3 linked regions of the Anolis sagrei genome follow. The protein of the gene in region 3 purifies or fractionates together with the protein of the main gene of each other region. This does not show direct contact. Links are inferred from orthologs where the notes say so. Each region holds a gene or a part of one and is shown on either strand. Other genes may lie near its edges. The genes, in order: MAPK8, MAPK9 and DUSP8.

Region 1 (7,060 bases), on a different chromosome or scaffold from region 3:
AATGATACAAAAGGTTTGCTAGGCTAGACCCTCTTTCACTCAGACTCAGCCCCCCCCCCGAAACTCAGCCCCCCCTGAAATTTTTTTAGCCCCCCCCCCCCCCCCCCCCGAAACAAAATCCTGGCTACGGGCCTGTTTCATATGTTTCTCCAAGCTGCTCATTTTCATTGGCAACAATCTCTCATGATCTTTGTTCCTTTTCCCTCAACAAATGTTGGGTATGTGTGCCACAATATGAATGAACGATAATTCCTAAAATCATGGGTCATTTCCCCCAGAACTCTGTCAGTATTCAAAGTTGGTCATGTTTGATAAATGTGCCATGCTTGGTCCAGATCCATCACTGGTGGGAGTTTGTTGGGAGAAGCACATGAGTGAAGCCGGCAAAGTGAATGAGCAAAAGGAAGACATATAGCAGCAAGGCATTACCACTGGCAAAGTGTACTCATATTGCACAATTGCTGTAGTTTGATGCCACTTTAACAGCCATGGCTCCACCCTATGGAATCCTGGAATCTGTGGTTTGGTAAGGAACTTGGAACTCTCCACTGTATTCTTACGCTGTAGGACAGAGAGCTGACAGTGAATTCTAAGTCCTTATCAAATTACAAGACCCAGAATTCTGTGGGATGGACCCATGACCGTTAAAGTGGTGTTGTAACTTCAACTATAGGGGGAACATAGATATATCCCAGGTTTCTTACTCTTAAAAATCTGTGGCACTTGAAGGTTGCTCAGTACAATGAACCACAATGCTGATAGGCCTATCTTGAGGTGGTCACTATGCTCAGTTGAATAAAAGATTGGAAAATCGAGTCTCTGCATTTATTTACAGATTTTACTGTTCATTTGTATGCTGGAATACAAACACAGACTTCACATTTGAAACAAAATTGTGCTGGATCAGGTTAATGATTCAGTAGAGCAGTGTTTCTCAAACTGTGCTCCTCCAGGTGTTTTGGACTTCAGCTCCTAGAAATCCCAGCCAGCATACAAGCTGTTAGAACTGTGGGAGCTGAAACCCAAAACATCTGAGGAAGCACAGTTTGAGAAACCCTTCAATAGAGAAAAGCAAATACAAACACCCTCTGGACAAATTTTGCTAAGATAACCTCACGATAAAGACCTACCTTAGAGTCACTATATTTATTTATTTTATTTATTTACTTTACTTATATACCGCTGTTCTCAGCCCGAAGGTGACTCACAGCAGTTCACAACAAATAATGTCAGAAATGACTTGAAGTAATACAAGAGATTCCTCCGTGGGAATTGCAAAGCAGGATATTATATACTATCTTAGGTACCCAGTGATGTAATTTGGCTATGTAATCTGGTAAGGATAAACATTAGAAAAAGTAATTGTGTGTTTTTGGATGTTATGAGTGGTCCCGTTAGAAAATGCATATGGATCAGGGTGAGCTGCAAGTCCCACTATCATCTGTTATTTTCCCCCAACGTTGGGCATGTTGAGTCTGTGTGCCAAGGCTGGTTCAGATCAGTTGCTGGTTGGGTTCACAGTGCTCTCTGGATGCAGGTAAACTGCAAGTCCTGAAATTCAAGGTCAATTCCCCCAAAACCCACCACTATTCAAAGTTGAACATGTGGGGTATGTGTGCCACATGAGGTCCAGATCCATTTTCAGCTGGGTTCACCATGCTCTCTGGATGCAGATGAACTACAACTCCCAAAAGTCAAGGTTAACCCCCGCTCCATACCCCACCGGTATTCTAAGTTGGGTATGTTGGATTTGTGTGCCAAGTTTGATTCAGATCCGTCATTGGACTGGGTTCACAGTGCTCTCCGGATGTGGGTGAATGGCAACTCCCAAAATTCATTGAAAGCCACTTCCCCCCATGTATTTAAAATTGGGCATGTGTAGCAAGTGTGGTTCGGATTCATCATTGGCTGGGTTCACAGTGCTTGCTGGATGTGGATGAACTACAACTCCCGAAATCATGGGTCAGTCTATTCTAAACCCCCCAGTATTCAAAGTTGACCATGTTGGGTATGTGTGCCAAGTTTGGTCCAGGTCTGTTGTCAGCTGGGTTCAGGGTGCCATCTGGATGTGGGTGAACTATAACTCCTGAAATCTAGAGTCAATCCCCCCACAAAGCCCTCCAGTATGTTCTGTTGGTTGACAGAAAAGGCTGCTGGCAAAAAAGATAAGACTGGTGAAATGTCTGCCCTTAGAGGCTGAGAAAGTATTGAAGAGAAACAACTGGAAAAGCTGACATGATACAAGGATTTAAAGATCGAACTGCAAAGACTCTGGCACAAGCCAGTCAAGGTGGTCCCGGTGGTGATCGGCACACTGGGTGCAGTGCCTAAAGACCTTGACCTGCACTTAAAACACAATTGGCGCTGACAAAATTACCATCTGCCAGCTGCAAAAGGCCACCTTACTGGGATCTGCACGCATTATTCGCCAATACATCACACAGTCCTAGTCACTTGGGAAGTGTCTGACGTGTGATCCAATACAACAGCCAGCAGAGTGTCTGCTGTGGACTCATCTTGTGTTTCTAATAATAATAATCATAATCAAATCATAATAAACTTTATTTATAACCCGCCACCATCTCCCCAAAGGGGACTCGGGACGGCTAACATGAGGCCAAGCCCAAAAATAACACAGCATAATTAGACACAAAAACAACAGAAAAATGTTGTTGTTCATTCGTTCAGTCGTCTCCGACTCTTTGTGACCTCATGGACCAGCCCATGCCAGAGCTCCCTGTCGGCCGTCACCACCCCCAGCTCCTTCAAGGTCAGTCCAGTCACTTCAAGGATGCCATCCATCCATCTTGCCCTTGGTCGGCCCCTCTTCCTTTTACCTTCCACTTTCCCCAGCATAATTGTCTTCTCTAGGCTTTGCTGTCTTCTCATGATGTGGCCAAAATACTTCCACTTTGTCTCTAGTATCCTTCCCTCCAGTGAGCAGCCGGGCTTTATTTCCTGGAGGATGGACTGTTTGGATCTTCTCGCAGTCCAAGGCACTCTCAGCACTTTCCTCCAGCACCACAGCTCAAAGGCATCTATCTTCCTTCGCTCAGCCTTCCCTAAGGTCCAGCTCTCACATCCGTAGGTGACTACAGGGAATACCATGGCTTTGACTAGGCGGATCTTTGTTGCCAGTCTGATGTCTCTGCTCTTTACTATTTTATCGAGACTGGACATTGCTCTCCGCCCAAGAAGTAAGCGTCTTCTGATTTCCTGGCCACAGTCTGCATCTGCAGTAATCTTTGCACCTAGAAATACAAAGTCTGTCACGGCCTCCACATTTTCTCCCTCTATTTTCCAGTTGTCAATCATTCTTGTTGCCATAATCTTGGTTTTTTTGATGTTTAGCTGCAACCCGGCTTTTGCGAACAGAAAAATACATCACAACAAAATACATAATATAACAAAATAAAATAAACAGTGCAAAATAACATAATAAAATCAAACACAAAGGGCGGGCCAAATGCATGAGATAAAATGTTAAAGCAGAATATTATATTTCAAACAGATTATGAAAACGAAGGCAGGTATCACACTAGAAGAAGAGGCAAGGAGTCTGCAAGCCATGTGGCTGCCTCCTCCTCCTGCGGAATTCTGGGACTTGTTGTTTAGAGGAGAGGCCTTTGAAAGGCTCAGCCAAGAGAGGCCCTGGGCCTCACTCAACTACAACTCCCAGAATTCTGCAGGAGGAGGCAGCAGCAGCGACAGGGTGACAGGTGGGCGGCCTCCTCTCTCAGCGCCAATGAGTGGGGTATAGCGTGAAGCCCCCTCGAGAAGCGCGCGCTGCGTGGCCATAGCAACCCATTCGGCGCCCTTGGACAAATCACAGTCTCCCATCTTCAAGGGGGACGCCAAGGCCGCGTTCAGTCTGAACCCAACCGGAAGGGGCTGGAAGGCGCGCCAAGCACTGCCCCCCCCCCAGGCAGCCAGGGGGAGGGGCTGCCACGCGCAGGTGCGGCGCCGGTGACGTCACTCCGCCTGGTCACCCCGAGCGGCGGATGCGGAAGCGGCCCACCAACCACCGCAGACCGGAAGCGCCGCCGCGGTGCCCATCCCGCCTATGCCTCAGTCCCTGCTTAGTCGCCCGGGGAGGAGGAGGAGAAGGAGGAGCGCCGCAGTCCGGCGCCGGCCGCCACCCGCCTCGGGTGCTCTCTGCCGGGTGAGCCAGCCTGGAGGGGCGGGAAGGCTTGGTCAGCGCGGCCTTGGCCGGCCTCGGGGTGGGAGAAGGAGGAGGAGGGGGGCGAGAGAGGGAGGCTGGGTCTGGCGAGAGGCGCAGGCAGGCTGGAGGCCCCGCCTGAGGGAAAGGGATAGCGGACCTGTGTTTATCTCATGGCTGAGGAAGCAGTGCACGTCCATGTGTGAGGAAGCGGACCTTACTGAAATCAAGATCAGCTGCCTTCACATCATTCCCTTCATCTACCAAGCTTGTAACTGTCGAGCAAAATACTCCTGTACTCCTGTACTGGGTTGCTGTGGGTTTTATTGTGCTGTATGGCCATGTTCCAGTAGCATTCTCTTCTGACGTTTCTCCTGCATCTATGGCAGGCATCCTCGGGGTTTTGAGGTCTGTGGGAATGAGGCAAGTGGGGTCATTGGAATGTCCAGGGTGGGGGAAAGAACTGTTTGTCTGTTTGAGGCAAGTGTGATTATTGCAATTGGCCAGCTTGATTAGCAACTGAAAAGCCCTGCAGCTGCAAAGCCTGGCGGTTTCTGCCTGGGGACGTGCTTTGTTTGAGAGATGTAAACTGCACTTGGTTGTTTTGTCGAAGTGAGACCTCACTACCTCTGAGGATGCTTGCCATAGATGCATGCGAAACGTCAGGGGAAAATGCCTCTAGAACTTGGCCATATAGCCCGGAAAATCCTACAACAACCCACTGGCACTTGATTGCTGACTAGAGTTCCCCTGCTTCTGAGAGCCCTTCCACACATTCCTATATCCCAGAATATCAAGGCAGAAAATCCCACAATATCTACTTTGAACTGGGCTATCTGAGTCTACACTGCCATATATTCTAGTTCAAAGCAGAAAATGTGAGATTTTCTGCCTTGATATTCTGGGATATAGGGATGTGTGGAAGAGCCCTGAATGGTGTTCTTTATTTGCTGTCTTGATTCTGGTGTTTTTTTTTAATACTGGTAATCAGATTTTATTTATTTTCATGGTTCTCTCCTTTTTGTTGAAATTGTCCACATGCTTGTGGATTTTGATGACTTCTCTATGTAGTCTGACATATTGGTTGTCAAAGTGGTCCAGCATTTCTGTGTTTTCAAATAGTATTCAGTGTCCAGGTTGGTTTAGCAAAAGGTGCCCCCAGGCAACAATAGCCAGGCTTTGCCACTGTAAGGCTACTCAGTTGTTAATCAAGCTGGCTAATTGCAACATTCACACTTGCCTCAAATAAACAAGAGTTCACACTGGATTTTCCACACACACACACATTTAATCTGAGAATTCCCACAGACTTCTCCCTCTAGTTGTCAACACAACTAGAATCCCCACAGACCTCTGAACAAACCTGTGAGGATGCCTGCCATAGATGCAGGTGAAACGTCAGGAGAGAATGCTTCTGGAACATGGCCATACAGCACAAAAAAATTCACAGCAACTCAGTGATTCAGCAACACATACTCCTGAACTGTTATGCAGTCCTGTCTTTTCTCTGTCCCGTTTTAGCATTTCACTATCATCTCTACACAGTCACCCTCCCTTTTCCTTGTTCTTCCTCTCCGCATATCAAATATGTCCCACATCTTATTAATCTGTGCACCATTTTTGTCTTCTAATGAATGGGTGCAATGATTAATAAGAGTGGGCCAAATTTTATATGGGAGAAGAAAGGTAAAAAAACCTTCAAACATACATTTATATTACCTAGTGAACAGAAAACAGCCATACCAGTGGCTCTTAAAATATAAACCATGAGCTCCATATCATTTTAAATTATCTTTAAATGTTTTTGTAACTTTAATAAGTTTTATTTGGTGTAAGCTATTGTGAAAGTGAAAATGTATTAATCTTTTGATTAGCCTGGAAAATATTGCCATTATTTGCTCTTCCCAAGTGCCACTGCCAGAACTCAGAATCTAATGAGGAAAGTACAGGTTGAGTGTTTTTAATTCTCAAATACTCCACAGTTGTACACGATAGTGACCTTTTGTGTACACATAAAATTATTACATTATTTTATAGGCTGTGTGTATAAGGTGTGTATGAAGCACAAGTGGATTTCATGTTTGGGCTTGGGCCTCATCTCCAAGATATCTCATTATGCACATACAAATATTCCAAAATCTGAAATCCAAAACCCTAATGGTCCTTACCAGTTTGAATCAGGGATACTCAACCTGTATTTTGTTCATTCTGTAGAGATGCAATCTACAAAGAGTGTTATCCCCAATCTGAAATCATTTCACTGGGAAACCCTACTCTGCAAAAGAGAGGTTACCAGTACATCTGCAACAGTGGTGTTTTTTTGGATTTGACAAGGCAACTGCTTCTGGGTACCAAACAACATAAGTGACTACGGTCAAAAGATAGGTATTCTTCCTGGTTGCTGTAGGGGCCCTTCCACACAGTCCTATATTCCAGAATATCAAGGCAGAAAATCCCACATTATCTGCGTGTTCAAAGCAGATATTGTGGGATTTTCTGCCTTGATATTCTGGGATATTGGGCAGTGTGGAAGGGCCCTCGGTAAGTGACCCTTAATATCTATGCCTACTCATTTAAAAGAGTCTTCAATCACAGGCATTGGATGGAGTTTTGTCTCTACTAGTACCTATTCATTGACCTATTTCAGAGGTTCCGTGAAAAATTACTAACTTGTTAACCCACCTTTGTTCAGTAAAAGTTTTGAGTCAGATGGTGGGATGGCTTACTTATCGCTCATTGTCAACCGAAAGAGCTTGAGTGAGCCATCTCCAGCATCCTTTCCTTATATTTGGTACCACAGCAAAACATATGGATTTTCCCACATTTTTAATAGCTGTCTTGCAATATAGCTTGCCTTGCAAATATACAGTGATACCTTGACTTACTAATTTAATTTATTTT
Region 2 (7,590 bases), on a different chromosome or scaffold from region 3:
TCACAATAGTAGCCAGCAACCTTCCAAGTTGTTTTCTATGACCCCTGGATCATGTCTGTACACGCATCGACATTGGAATAGCCTGGTCTACGCGTTTGGATCATGTGATTTTAATGTTTTTATTAGGTGTTTTAATTCTTATATTTCACATTTTAAATGTCTTTTTTTCCTTATCTTATAGTAAATTGTCCTATTAATTTTATGATTAATTATATGGTGTTGATTTGTGATTTGGTTTATGTATGTAAGACATTGAATTTTGCCATTATTTCTGTGTAACCCGCTTTGAGTCCCCCCAGGGGTGAGAAAAGCAGTATATAAATACTGTAAATAAATAAGCAAAGGGAAAAAATCCCCCTTCTGAAACTGCTATACCTGGAACTGTGGTTTTCCCTTTTAAACAAGGTTAGCCTCCCCTGTGCCTTTTGAAAAGTCAAAGGTGTTAGAAAATTTGATGCTTAGACCAGTTTGTTTGGTGTTTATTACTTATTTATTATTTAAAACATTTATATTCCACCCTTCTAACCAGGAAGAGGACTCAGGGCGGAGCACAGCATATATACGGCAAACATTCAATGCCAGGATAAGAATTCATTATATGCATACATAAACATTAAAAACATTTGTCTAAATATTAAAATACACTGTTTAAAACTGTCTTGATCATCTGCGTCCAATCTAATTGGCCTGGTAAGGTTTCCTATTGCTGCTTTATTGCATCATCCTGAAAGCTTGGTCTCACAGCCAAGCTTGTGGGACCAAATTTGTGGGGAAAGGAGTACACAGAGGTCTTAGGCATGGAAAAGTGGGCCCTGGATCTTGCTTTAGCGGTATTCAAAATTGTAGTTTAGGATAGGGCTCTACAGAGAAGAAAAGCTTAACATTTTAAAAGTCTGAAATCACCAGTGACAGTGAAAATGCCTGAGCAGCTGGGGTTTCACCTATAAAGAGATGTTGAGGTGGTTCAACGAGTATATCTCAATATGAGTACAATTGGCCCTTTGTATTAGCTGGGGTTTGGTTCCAGGACACTCTTTGGATACTAAAATCCATGGATGCTCAAGTACCATTATAAACAATGTTATGGTAAATTAATGTCTTAAACAAAATGGCAAAATCAAGGTTTGTTTTTTGGATTTTGGGTGGGGGCGGGCAGGGATATTTACAAGCCCGTGGATGATTGAATCTATGGATAAAGAATTCAAGGAAACAGAAACAACTGTATAGCTCAATGACACTATCAATTTAGTGTGTGGTAATAATTTTTATACCCTGCCTCCATCTCCCCAAAGGGACTCAGGGCTGCTTAGACATGGGACAAAACGTCCACAGTAGGTAAAGGTTTTCCCCTGACATTAAGTCCAGTCGTGTCCGACTCTGGGGTGTGGTGCTCATCTCTATTTCTAAGCCGAAGAGCCGGCATTGTCCGTAGACACCTCCAAGGTCATGCGGCTGGCATGACTCAGTACATAAGGCAAAAACATAAAAGCAAAACAATCCATTAAAAACAAAATACAATTAAAATAAAACATACCAAAACAAAACATAATCAGATAAAACACAAATAAATGGGTATAAAAACATCAGCCTTAAAGCTCAGACAATACACAACAAAAACCAATAGCCAGAAATACTAAGGTGGTAGCTAGTTATAGAAAAGATATAAAAGGATGAAGTTGGGCAAGAAAGGAGCTTTGTGATGCCTCTGTGCTCTTGTATCCAAAGATTCTAACCTGTCTATCTTATTGAAAACTGAAGTACTAATTGCCCCAAAAGAATTGTGTACATAAACATCCTTTAAAAAAAAGGCAGCCTTTGCATCCCAAACTAAAAGAGGGCAGGCATGTATGATAGGACGGATATTCACAAATTGTGGAATATCCTTCCCTCAGAGATCCATTGGGTATCCAACATTGATACAAAGCATTCTGGCACTGAGTAAGCACATTTTTTTTATTAAACCCTTTGAAGTCAACTTGATTTTAATTCAATTTTATCATTTGCAAAGTTTCAGGTGATTCTCACTTATTTTAAATTGCCTATTCTAAAAAGTATAACCATACAATATAGTCTGTCTTAAATTGTGTTTGTCTATGCCACCTTTGGATTCTTGTGTTTAGGGTGGCATCTGCTGTGTATGATTGTATATGGATAGATAGCAAGCCACGATTGAAATATAAGTACCTATATACAGGGGCAAATTAGATATTTCTTTCCTACACTAGAATTCTGAATCTTCCTGGCAAATATCTTCATACAAATCACAGTTAATTGATAAAATTACCTGCCACAAGATGTAATTACCACTAGCTTGCATAACTTTGAAAGGGAATTACACAAATAGATATGTCTTATGCATGGCCCCAAGTAATGGTATGTTGTTTGAAACTATCAACTTCAGGGAAGCACCATTTGCTGGGAATTAATAGGAGAGAGCTATTACTTTTACTCCTTATAGAATTGTCAGTGAGCCATTAGGACACTATTGTGGCAAACAGAGATGAGTTGGCCATACAAGGCACCATGTGCCATTTCTCCAGTCCTATGCCTTCAAATCAGCATAAACCCTATAAATCTACATGCTTGCCCTTCATCATGTTCTCCCTCTATTGAGAATGGCAATTGTGAATGGCCTTCAACTATAAAATGAGCACAAAAACTGGTTGGCTCAAACCTTACCCTGAAATCTTTGACGGAACAAGAGGACAAACTTTTTACATATACAACGACCACTGCTAGAATTGTTTTTGCTAGAGAGTGGAAGCAAGGCACAGTACCACCCGTACAGGATTGGGTGGAAAAAATCAGAGAAATAAAGGACATGGACGAACTGACTTTTTTGTTGAAGAAAAATACAGGCATGATAATAAAAAGAACGAATTGGGACAATCTTCATGACTATCTGGACAATTTGCGAATATAAAAAAACAAGAGAGACAATTTTATTATCTTTAATAAAAAAAATATATTTTTGAATAACAAGAATATTTTATCCAAGAAGATGGAATGGAAGTCACTTTTTTTCTTTATTTTTATTTTTCTATTTTTTTTGTATGTGGATTTTGTAGGGTTTTATTTAGGATATCTTTTTTTACTTCTTACTTTATTGGCCTTTCCCTCTCTCTTTTTTCTTTACTTTTCTATACCTAATTGTTCTCACTCTTTCGTTGTATTCTATATAAAATTTAATAAAATTCCTTTAAAAAACACACAGTTACAATTAACACAATTAATTGAAATGAGGACAGAGTGATCAAACTGCCACTTTAAATATGTATCTCATTGCTAGGTCAAGGCAGATTTATCTCATTGTTGGGGGTGCTTTTTTCTATTTACAATCATAGTGCTTGAGTCAGCTGTTTTTCCTTGCCCATGACATACCACTTTTTGAACTACAATTTGATTTATATGCTGACACTGACCAGGATTGGGTCAAGATGGAAAAAGTGGACCAGGAGCACTCAAATTAGCCAAAACTAAGATGCATCCATTTAAACATCATGTGCTGCAGGTATACTGAAGTAGGATCCAACTCATAATAAACATCTATTAATTGGTGCCTCACTGGCTTTGGAAAGTCCTTTTGGTTTGTACATATGAGTACAGACAGAAAGAAGAAAACATGTTCCTCTCAGTTTTTCCCTTCAAGTATTTTGATAACTAATATTGATTATGTTTTCCTTCCTGCCCTTCCACACAACCATATAACTTAGAATATCAAGGCAAAATAACCCACAACATCTGCTTTGAATTGAGTTATCTAAGTCCACACTGCCAAATATTTAAAGATTGAACTGCAAAGACTCTGGCACAAGCCAGTCAAGGTGGTCCCAGTGATGATCGACACACTGGGTGCAGTGCCTAAAGACCTTGGCCTGCACTTAAACACAATTGGCGCTGACAAAATTACCATCGGCCAGCTGCAGAGGGCCACCCTATTGGGATCTGCACAGATTATTTGCTGATACATCACACAGTCCTAGACACTTGGGAAGTGTCCGACGTGTGATCCAATTCAACAGCCAGCAGAGTGATCTTCTCTGCTGTGAACTCATCTTGTGTTTCTAATAATAATAATAATAATAATAATTGGGAAGCGTTCGACTTGTGATTTTGTGATATGAAGTCCAGCATATAGCTCTCATTTGCTGTGACATACTGTGTTTTTGTCTGTATAATAATAATAATAATAATAATAATAACAATAATAATAGTCCTAGACGCTTGAGAAGTGTTCAACTTGTGATTTTGTCATACGAAATCCAGCATATAGATCTCGTTTGCTGTGACATACTGTGCTTTTGTGTCAATAATAATAATAATAATAGGACTCCGGACTCGACAGTGAGGGAGAGTGTCAAATTCAAAGGCAGATGACATGAGCTCAAAAGCTTCCCTCGTCCCCTCCCTGCTTCCTTCCCCTCCCTCGGTGACACAGGAAGGCGCGCAGAGCGCCTCCCGCCATATATAGTGGCCTTTAAGCCCCGCCTCCGAGGGCTGGTTGGTTGAGCCTGGGAGGTCCTCAGCGCGGATTGGGCGCGCGGGTGTCCGTCAGCAGATCGGGGCCTGGTGCGGCCTGTGAGAGACTGAGGGAGGCCATTGCAGCTGGAGAGTCTGGGGAGCCTCTGGAGGGAACGAGCGCCGCCGCCGCCGCCGAGTGCGCCTCCCAGAGCGGGTGTCGCGGAGGTGAGGCAGGCCGAAGGAGGCGCCGCCGACGGTGCGGCCGAGGAGCGAGCGGGATTTCTGCGGGGAGGAGGGGAGGGGGGCCGAGCCACCTTGAGGGGGGCGGCGGCGGCGGCTACGACCATCCGCCTCGGCCTGCGCCCCCGCCTAGAGCCATTCCTGGCCTGGGACTCGCCCGACGAGGCCTCGGAGATCGGGGCGACCTTTACCCCCCCCCCGCGCCTTGCCCATTCCCCTCTCGGGGGCCGCACTCCCCTCCGCCTCGCCTGCTCTTTGGCCAGGAGAAGAGGCTTGGGATGCGGCTTGGCCCCGGAGAGGGTTTTTGGCCCTTGTTCGTGAAGGGCCAGGCCTCCTCCTTGGGCCAGCAGCCTCTCCCGAGCCACCCCCCCCCTTCCCCCGCCACTTGCACCCATCGTTTTCACGGGCTAGGCATATGGCGCTTTCTGGAGGTGAGCATCTTGCAATCATCAGTGCAGGGAACTGTCTCTGCTGGCCATAGTGGGCATCCAGATGTTGAATTGCGAATCTCAGCATTGGCTTACGGTTGTGGACCCTTGTTTTAAGGTTTGGAGGATGCGATGGGCAAGGTCTCCTTTTTTGGCGAGGAGAAAGACTTTCAGGAAAGCCATTTCCCCTCCTGGTCCACTCACACATCCTCTTCATCATCCCTGCTTGAGGTGAACATCATGCATTAATCAGTGAATCCAGCTGTCTCTTCTGGCAATAGCAATGGTTCTCAACCTGCGGGACCCCAGATGTTTTGGCCTTCGGCTCCCGGAAATCCAAACAGCTGGTAAGCTGGTTGGGATTTCTAGGAATTGTAGGCCAAACCATCTGTGGACCCACAGGTTGAGAACCACTGGGAAATAGGGTCTTGTGGGCCTCCAGGTGTTGAAGCACAAATCTAGGCGTGATGCTAGCTGAGGCCCTACAACATCTGGAAGGTACTATGATTCCCACCCTAGTCTATGACATGGGGTAGTTAAGGAGATGGGAATTAGTAGCACAATTCTGCACCTGTTCATTTGAAAGTAGGGTTTCAAATGAATTTACTAATGAGGTTTACTTTTAAGGGTCAATTGCACAAGTTCCATTTTGTGTAACTACAAAATGCCATCTCAAACCAGCCACAATATATTGCACTATTTTTATTGGAGATGTTGGTGTTGGAGGCAGTTCTAGACTCTTCGTGGATGGCACTTATTTTATTCCAGTGTTTATAGCCTGGCCACGCTGCCATCAATTTACCTCCACGGTTAGAGGATTGCAGTCTGAATTGATGTTTTTATATGTCCATTGTTTTATTGTATTGTATTTTACGTTGTGTTTACTTTTATGTTTGTTTGTGCCATCTGTAAGCTGCCCCAAGTCCCTTTGGGGAGATAGTGGTGGGATATAAGAATAAAATAGTTATCATCATCATTATTACTTTGCTTTGCATGTAGGTGTCTGTTTGTTTCTTCTTTTAAAAAGTTATGTATGTGAGATTGTTAAGTCTGGGTTGTGTTATATCCTGCTGTCCTCAAATTCATATACTGCCTTTTAAGATTGGTTGTTGGACTGATTTGTTTCTACTGATTGGTTAGGGCAGTTAGTTTCTTTACTAGCAAAAGATTGTTCTCTTCCTATAGTATGTCTCAGTCATGATGTTTATTTTATTTTCTTCAATTTTATTACTGTTTATCGATTACTTTCCTTATATGAAAAATACATTAATAACTTTCTTGAACATATGTTCACTATTGGGAGAAATCACTAATTCCTAAGACAGCGGGAAAGTGATTTTGGGAGATTTGACTTGTCAGATTACTATATAAGTTGACTGTGCAATCAGTAAATGTAGGGTTTACAACAGATGTTGCAATCATGGAGACTCAAATCCAAATCCAATATGTTTTCTGTTGGATAAATCTACAGAAAACCAAAACTAGCTGACATTTTGGAGCTGCACCTCTATAACAAATTGTGTTGTTATCTATTCCCATGCAACTCTGTTGTACACAAATACACTCAGTGAGATTTACTTTCACATGTGTTTCTCATGAAGGCGACAATGACCTAGCATAGTTAATAAGCTATATGCTATGGTTTGAGCGCACATGTTTACCAGTACATGCAATGTCATAGTATCAGTAACTTCTAATTTATATACTTTATAGGGAATGATCATGTAATTTCTGCTCTTGCAGTTTAGTAGACATGGAAGCGTACTTCTTGTTTTAGGGAGTATTACTTAATTTTAGTGCAGATGCATATTTTACATTTCAATGAATAAATAATATATGTTAGCTAATCTTGTGATTTTTTTTATTTGAAGATTTTCTTACATATATATATCATAGAACATGACCAAGCATTATACAATCTTCAGTTTTCACAACAGTGACATAAGATGCCATTTGGTGCATTTGCAGTGGCACTTTACTGCTGGTTCATACCTGGATGTGCTCCAATCAATGTATGATTCACTTTTGACCAGCTGTATTTTAGTATTCAATCACTACTGGAAGATTCTGTGGTGGTTCATTCCTGTTTCCCTTGGGTGCTTGAGAGAAATAATACAGTTCAGGAATAGTATGTAACTGCCATGTATTCTGGACAAAACTTGTGTACGCATACCTCCAGTCTTCTTTTATGTAATGGTGTATGGTAGAATTGCTGTTTTCTTCTTAGCTTCAGTAAAACCCAGAGGAAAAACAGTACCCTGTTCTTCATCTATACAAATAATATCAAAGTAACCTACTGTAGCTACCCAAAAGATGATTTAAAAAACCGAGTTTACTTATACAGGCCATCCTCAAGTTATAAACATCCAATGTACAAACAACTCATAGTTACGACCGGGCCTCCCCCCTCCCCCCCGCCATGAAATCTTAGCGCTGAGCCAAAGTGTGCCTGTATCTTTCC
Region 3 (7,135 bases):
CAAGCCCTACCTGGATATCCCAGGGACAACACGACAGCCTCTAATCCCAAAGTACTAGCTTAATTTGGCATCCAAAACCAGGTAACAAGAGATTTGCACCCTAGAATGGAGGTGTGTCATTATATTCAATACCTGTGTTATAGGCCCGTAGCCAGGATTTTGATTCGGGGGGGGGGGGGGGGAGCTGAGTCTGGGTGAAAGAGGGTCTACCCTAGCAAACCTTTTGTATCATTACCCCAATACCCCCATACATATGGGATATATTGAGAATGGTGATCAGATCATGATATTAATAAACATAACAGTTTAAATAATGTACCAGTAAAGCCTTCTCGCCGACCACCATGAGAATTTCGGGGGGGGGGGGGGGCTGAAGCCCCTATAGCCCCCCCCCCCCCCCGGCTACATGCCTGCTGTGTTAGAAAGGACTGTCCCTCAATTATGTCATTTAAGGGGGAAATAGCACAATTCTGTTAAAGGAAGAAATGGGCCGTGGTTAGTATGGAAAATAGAGTTGTGCACAACTGTGATGGTATAAACAAAACCACCATCAACTGCAAATATGAGTGGCTTATGAAATTTAGCTCTGAATATTATTTTTCCACCCACAGCACTAGATTATGGATAGTGTTGAAACCAACTCACAGCACACACTGAAATATATGTATGAGAATGACTCCTGCACTATTATGACATCATTGCTTTACCTATGATTTAATCCACCGTCCTTTGAATTGACCTTCCAGACCAGTACATACTCATCTGCCTGCCATCACCCTGCAGGAAGCACAGCCCAGGTGTGGCTATATTCTGACCAGCAGTCATTTAGTCCATTCCTGGAGATCAAATCCTTCTTCATGCAGCAGCCAAGCCAATACCACTGTCTCAAGGTCTAGAGCAGTGTTTCTCAACTTGGGAGTTGGGACCCCGGGGGGTGGGGGGTCATGAGGAGATTTCAGAGAGGTCACCAAAGACCATCAGAAAACCTATACTTATAGGAACCCCTTTGGCAGAGAAGGCTGAAGATCTCTCCATCAGATGTGAATGCTCCCACCAAAAGCCCTCCTCAGTTGTGATTGGCTAGCTGTTTCTGAGACTCCAAGCCGGGGGGGGGGGGGGGGGGGGAGAGGAGGGGAAGGGAGAGGAAGCATGCTTGGCGCATGGTAGCATGGTGTACATGAGTGAGCAAGGGAGAGCATGTGAGGCTGGAGGGAGGCTCACGGCAGCAAGTCCCTTCAAGGCACAAGAGTTCTGTGTGGGAAGTTTGGCTCAATTCTATTGTTGGTGGGGTTCAAAATGCACTGTGATTGTAAGTGAACTATAAATCCCAGCAACGACAACTCCCAAATGTCAGGGTCTATTTTCCCCAAACTCCACCAGTGTTCATATTTGGGCATATTGGGTATTCGTGCCAAGTTTGGTGCAAATCCATCATTGTTTGAATCCACAGTGCTCCCTGGATGTAGGTGAACTACAGCTCCAAAACTCAAGGTCAATGCCCACCAGATGTTTCCAGTATTTTCTCTTGGTCATGGGAGTTCTGTGTGCCAAGTTTGGCTCAATTCTATCATTGGTGGAGTTCAGAATGCTCTTTGATTTTAGGTGAACTATAAATTCCAGCAACAGCAACTACAACTCCCAAATGACAAAATCAACCCCTCCACCCAACCCCACCAATATTCAAATTGGGGCATATTGGGTATTTGTGCCAAATTTCATCCAGTGAATGAAAATACATCCTGCTTTTCAGAGATTTACATGACGATTCAGAGCAGTAGCAAAATTACAGTTATGAAGTAACAACGAAAATAATGTTATGGTTGGGGGTCACCACAACATGAGGAACTGTAGTATTAAGGGGTCGCGGCACTAGGAAGGTTGAGAAACACTGCTCTAGTGGGTTGGGAGGTATCCCAGTCCCTCTTCCTGCAAAGAAGCCTTTCTCTACCTTCGCCTGTAAATGCAAATCCTATTTGGTCCAAGCCAACAATGTGATGCAGCAGCAAAAAAAAAGCCAATGGGATTTTGGCCTGCATCAATAGGAGCATAGTGTCTAGATCCAGGGAAGTCATGCTACCTCTCTATTCTGCCTTGGTTAGACCACACCTGGAATATTGTGTCCAATTCTGGGCACCGCAATTGAAGAGAGATATTGACAACCTGGTATGTGTCCAGAGGAGGGTGACTAAAGTGATCAATGGTCTGGAGAACAAGCCCTAGGAGGAGCGACTTAAAGAGCTGGACATGTTTAGCCTGAAGAAGAGAAGGCTGAGAGGAGACATGATAGCCATCAATAAATATGTGGGAGGAAGTCACAGGGAGGAGGGAGCAAGCTTGTTTTCTGCTTCCCTGGAGACTAGGACACGGAACAATGGCTTCAAACTACAAGAAAGGAGATTCCATCTGAACATGAGGAAGAACTTCCTGACTGTGAGAGCTGTTCAGCAATGGAACTCTATGCTCCTGAGTGTGGTGGAGGCTTCTTCTTTGGAAGCTTTTAAACAAAGGCTGGATGGCCATCTGTCAGGGGTGCTTTGAATGCAATTTTCCTGCTTCTTGACAGGGGGTCGGACTGGATGGCCCATGAGGTCTCTTCCAACTCTATGATTCTATGATTCTTTGAATGGACAGTGCTTTTTCCCCCCCTCCACTGCTGCATTCCCTGCACCAGGGCTGGAACATTTCCCGGTGAGAGTATGATAGCTGGGTCTGGAAGCTCCGAGTGTTAACAGAGATGTTGCAAAGGCGGCTGTGAATAAGGGAAGAGAAGGGGCGGAGTGAAGGCAGGGAGAGCGAAGGAAAGCTAGAAAGGAAAGGACGCTTAGGGTAAGGGTTAGGGCAAGGTTTAGGGTTTAGGTTAGGGTTACGGTAAGGGTTAGGGTTAAGGTAAGGGCAAGGTTTAGGGTTTGGGTTAGTGTAAAGGTTAGGGTAAGGTTTAGGGTTTGGGTTTGGGCAAGGTTTAGGGTTTGGGATTGTGTTAGTGTAAGGGTTAGGGTAAGGTTTGGGGTTTGGGTTAGGGTTATGTTTAGGGTAGGGGTTAGGGGTTACGGTTAGGGTATGGTTAAGGGTTAGGGTAGGGGTTAGGTTTAGTGAAAGGGTTAGGGTAAGGTTCAGGGTTTGGGTTAGGGTCAGGGTTTGAGTTAGCATAAGGGTTAGGGTAAGGTTTAGGGTTTGGGTTAGGATATGGTTTAGGGTTTGGGTTTTGGGAAATGGGTTAGGCTTACAATATGGTTCAGGGTGAGGGTGAGGGTTTCACCCTCAAAGAAGGCTTCCATGCCTTCTATATGATCTGTCTCCTCCGGCCTGGCTGCCATGAGCGAAGTCTCTCTTGCGCCAAGAGCCCTCCCGAAGGAGCGATGCGGCATCTCCGTAACGCTCGGAGCTTCCGGGCCCAGCTCTCAGGCTATTCCCCATTCCCCATTGAAGGGGAGCCATTGGGAGGGGATGAGGCCGTGAAGCGAGCTGGGGAGGCGAAAGAGGAAGCGGGAAGCCCTCGTCCCTTGTCAGCGGCGGCGGCGGCGGCAACGGAGCCTTCCCCTGGCCCGCCTCCTCCCGTTGAATCTGCACCCAAAGCCCCAGGATCAGAGGCTGACGTCATCCTGCCCCTGAGCCTCCCTCGCTGATTGGCTGCGGGTGACGTCAGGGGCGCTTCTTTTTTTCTTTCTTTTTTTTCCACCGAGGCATGACCTCATCCTCAGTTCATTTTTAGTTCCAAAGGGCAACCTCCAGTCCTGCCTTCCTGGAGCCCTTCACAGCCTGGATCAGGCTGAGCTCCATTAAATCCCCCCTCCTCTCCTCTCCTCTCCTCTCCCCACCCCCGGCCTCCTGCTGTTGCTCGGTTCCACGGGAGGGAGGGAGAGAAGGAGAGAAGGAGAGAGAGAGGGGGGGTGCGCGCGCACCTACCCGCTCACTCCTCCCGGGCTGCCCACGCTCCTCGGCGGCGGCGGGGCTGGCACCATGCGCGCGTGCCAGGGAGGCTGCGCGCGCGTGCTTGCAGAGGGCTAGCAGCCCTTGCCTCCCCTCCAGAGCTCGCTCCCTGCCTCCCTCCCTCCCCCGCCCCTCTCTCCCCGATCCTCTCCTCTCCTCTCGCTCCTGGCGAATGCGCAGACCTTTGCAAGGCAGCCCGGGTGGCGCAGGCTTGCAGGAGGAAGTGCCAGGAGGGTAAGTAAGCATGCCCTTGCTTGGAGCGGGGCTGGCGGGGGGCACACACGCCAAGGGGAAGGCACTCCGGGCTCGCCGGAAACCTTGCGGTCGTTCCCTTTCAATGGTGCCTGGGGTTGGTCCACCTGCAGCCCTGAGAGAGAGGGCGCGGAGATGCTTTGGGAGGCATACCTTTCGGACTTGCCGCATCCAGACCCACCCGCTGCCGTGGGGATCCGCTGCTTTTGGAGCCCCCTTCGGGGCCTGCCTTCGTGTGTGTGTGTGTGTGCAAAACGGGATTAGGAAGAGAGATGGGCAAGCAAGGTCGGGGCTGGCCAGAGCCACCCGCCTCGCAAGGTCGGGCTCCCATGCCAGGGGAAGAGGGCGCGCGGGGATGGGCATGGGCATGGGGATGGGGATGGGCATGCCTCTGGGCACGGTGTCTGCGGAATCCGAGTATCCTGAACTCGCTCACGGGAGCGCATCGCTGTGGTGCAGAGCCGAGAGAGCCCTGCAGCCTGCCAATCGCATATTTATGACGTGTGTTTAAGTAACAGGAGGAGGATTAAACACGGGATGGAAGAGAAGGGAAGGAAGGGAGAAATCCGATTACCCCGAGGACGCAATGAAAGCCCAGGATGGAGGAGGAAAAGCTCGGGACGTCCGTCTTGCTGCGCATTGCAAGGCTGGATCCAGGCTGCCATAGACTGCTATTCAGACTGAAAAGGCATTATAGGACTCTGCTGATCTATGTATTGTCGAAAGCTTTCATGGCCGGAATCACTGGGTTGTTGTAGGTTTTTCGGGCTGTATGGCCATGTTCTAGAAGCACTCTCTCCTGACGTTTCGCCCATTTAAGGTGGAATCAGGTGTGTTATTGCCACAACCTTATTTTCCATCTTCATCGCTATGATACTTCCTCTTGTTGATGGGAAGCTTCCCACCGGAGTGGGAGGTGTTAGCTGGCCCTGGTTGTTTCTTGTCTGGAATTCTCCTGTTTTCTGAGTGTTGTTTTTTTTTATTTACTGTCCTGATTTTAGAGGGTTTTTTAAAATGCTAATCAAGGTGGCCAGTTGCAACACCCTGGACATTCTACAGATATATGAACCCCACTTAGTTTCCAACAGACCTCACAACCTCTGAGGATGGCTGCCATAGGTGCAGGCAAAACATCAGGAGAAAATGCTTCTAGAACATGGCCATACAACCTGAAAAACCTACAACAACTCATCTACTTATGAACACTGACCATACAATGCAGTTCCGAACAGGCATTCTATAGCAGTGTGAATCCTCCCCAAGCAGGGCATTGCCTTTGCTAGATTGAACGCCACACAGGCAAATCCCAGCTGCAGTGTTTTCCCAGGAAGAGGAGAATGTCCTCTCTCTATTCCTTTTGGAGGAGGAATTGGGTGTTCTTATTGGAAGGGTCTCACGAGTTTCCCCTTGGATTGACGGGCCAGTGTTCTTGTAGTTGTGTCTATTAAGGTTTACTGCTCAAGATCCTTTAGCAGGTTGGAAGGATCAGAGAAAAGCCAGTCTGCAGCTTTATCCCTCAGTAAATAAGAGGGAATTAAACACTCTTTTAATGAAAAGGCCCTCTAGCAGGTATGAATAAGAGCTCCTGCCAGGCAACCATATTGGAGTGGTGATTCAGCACTTGGGGTCTTTAAATGCCTGCCTGCCTGCCTGCCTGCCTGCAGGGACACCTATGCAGGAGAGCTGTGCAGTCCAGTCCCACCTACTAAGCAACCACACTGTTCTGCAGAGAGACTGGGATCATCCACTGCACCTCTCCAAAATGATAAAAGCACAGAGTAGAGAGGTGTATCTGTCTCCTGGTGGCATAGCTGTGATCCTAGTGGAAATAAACATGAGAAGTGATACAGGTGAGGATGGGGAAGATGCTGGATAGGCGTCCCCTTGTTAGAGGGAATGAGAATGTCTTCTTCTTGCAGGGCTTGTCAACAAGTTAAACATAATGTCATTCACCGGCTAAAAAAGACAATGGGATTTTGGCCTGCATCATAGGAGCATAGTGTCTAGATCCAGAGAAGTCATGCTGCCCCTCTATTCTGCCTTGGTTAGACCACATCTGGAATAGTGTGTCCAGTTCTGAGTTGAAGGGAGATGTTGACAAGCTGGAATTGTCCAGAATTGTCCAGAAGAGGAATTGTCCAGAAGAGGACGACTCAAATGATAAAGGGCCTGGAGAACAAGCCCTATGAGGAGCAGCTTAAAGAGTTGGGCATGTTTAGCCTGCAGAAGAGAAGGCTGAGAGGAGGCATGATGGCCATGTATGAGGGGGAGACATAGGGAGGAGGGAGCAAGCTTGTTTTCTGCTGCTCTGGAGACTGGGATGTGGAACAATGGCTTCAAACTACAGGAAAGGAGATTCCACCTGACCATTAAGAAAAACTTCCTGACCATGAGAACTGTTCAGCAATGGAACTCTCTGCCCTGGAGTGTAGTGGAGGCTTCTTCTTTGGAGGCTTTTAAACAGATGCTGGTTGGCTATCTGTTGGAGGTGCTTTGAATGCAATTTTCCTGCTTCTTGGCAGGGGGTTGGACTAAATTGCCCACAAGGTCTCTTCCAACTCTATGCTTCTATGATTCGTGGCTGGGCATAGGGATGTGACTGAGTGCAAGAAGAAGATCCAGACCTTCTTCTTTTATACAGTTTGTGCACCCATGGTGGCAACCTGTTTCTTAACATCTTTTAAATGTAAAGGGGTTTCTATCTATTTCTTGTATAGGAATCTTACCAATCCTAACTCAAAACCTCTGATTTGTAGTATTTCCTAGGTACAGGTAGAGCATCCCTTATTATGTGGAATACCAAAATTCTCCCAAATCCAAAATTGTGGGTGGCTGAGACTTTCATTTTCTGTTGGTTCAACATGTACACACAAAATGTGCATACACACAATTATTAAATGTGCTGTTTATAAAATTCCTGAAGAACTATGCATATAAAGCAGGCATGGGCAAACTT

The links.
Region 1: the proteins of DUSP8 (region 3) and MAPK8 purify together in Homo sapiens (affinity purification with mass spectrometry; 3 studies listed by BioGRID and IntAct, counting the BioPlex papers as one, with this or other methods). This does not show direct contact. The link is inferred for Anolis sagrei from reciprocal best matches to the Homo sapiens genes DUSP8 and MAPK8.
Region 2: the proteins of DUSP8 (region 3) and MAPK9 purify together in Homo sapiens (affinity purification with mass spectrometry; 4 studies listed by BioGRID and IntAct, with this or other methods). This does not show direct contact. The link is inferred for Anolis sagrei from reciprocal best matches to the Homo sapiens genes DUSP8 and MAPK9.

Annotation. Positions count from the first base shown.
Region 1 is NC_090023.1:142,173,250-142,180,309, reverse strand, and holds the start of MAPK8 (mitogen-activated protein kinase 8), read left to right. Parts: upstream 1-4,006; 5' UTR 4,007-4,162; intron 4,163-7,060. UniProt on the Homo sapiens protein: Serine/threonine-protein kinase involved in various processes such as cell proliferation, differentiation, migration, transformation and programmed cell death.
Region 2 is NC_090022.1:87,597,436-87,605,025, forward strand, and holds the start of MAPK9 (mitogen-activated protein kinase 9), read left to right. Parts: upstream 1-4,546; 5' UTR 4,547-4,686; intron 4,687-7,590. UniProt on the Homo sapiens protein: Serine/threonine-protein kinase involved in various processes such as cell proliferation, differentiation, migration, transformation and programmed cell death.
Region 3 is NC_090021.1:243,965,493-243,972,627, reverse strand, and holds the start of DUSP8 (dual specificity protein phosphatase 8), read left to right. Parts: upstream 1-4,073; 5' UTR 4,074-4,161; intron 4,162-7,135. UniProt on the Homo sapiens protein: Has phosphatase activity with synthetic phosphatase substrates and negatively regulates mitogen-activated protein kinase activity, presumably by catalysing their dephosphorylation.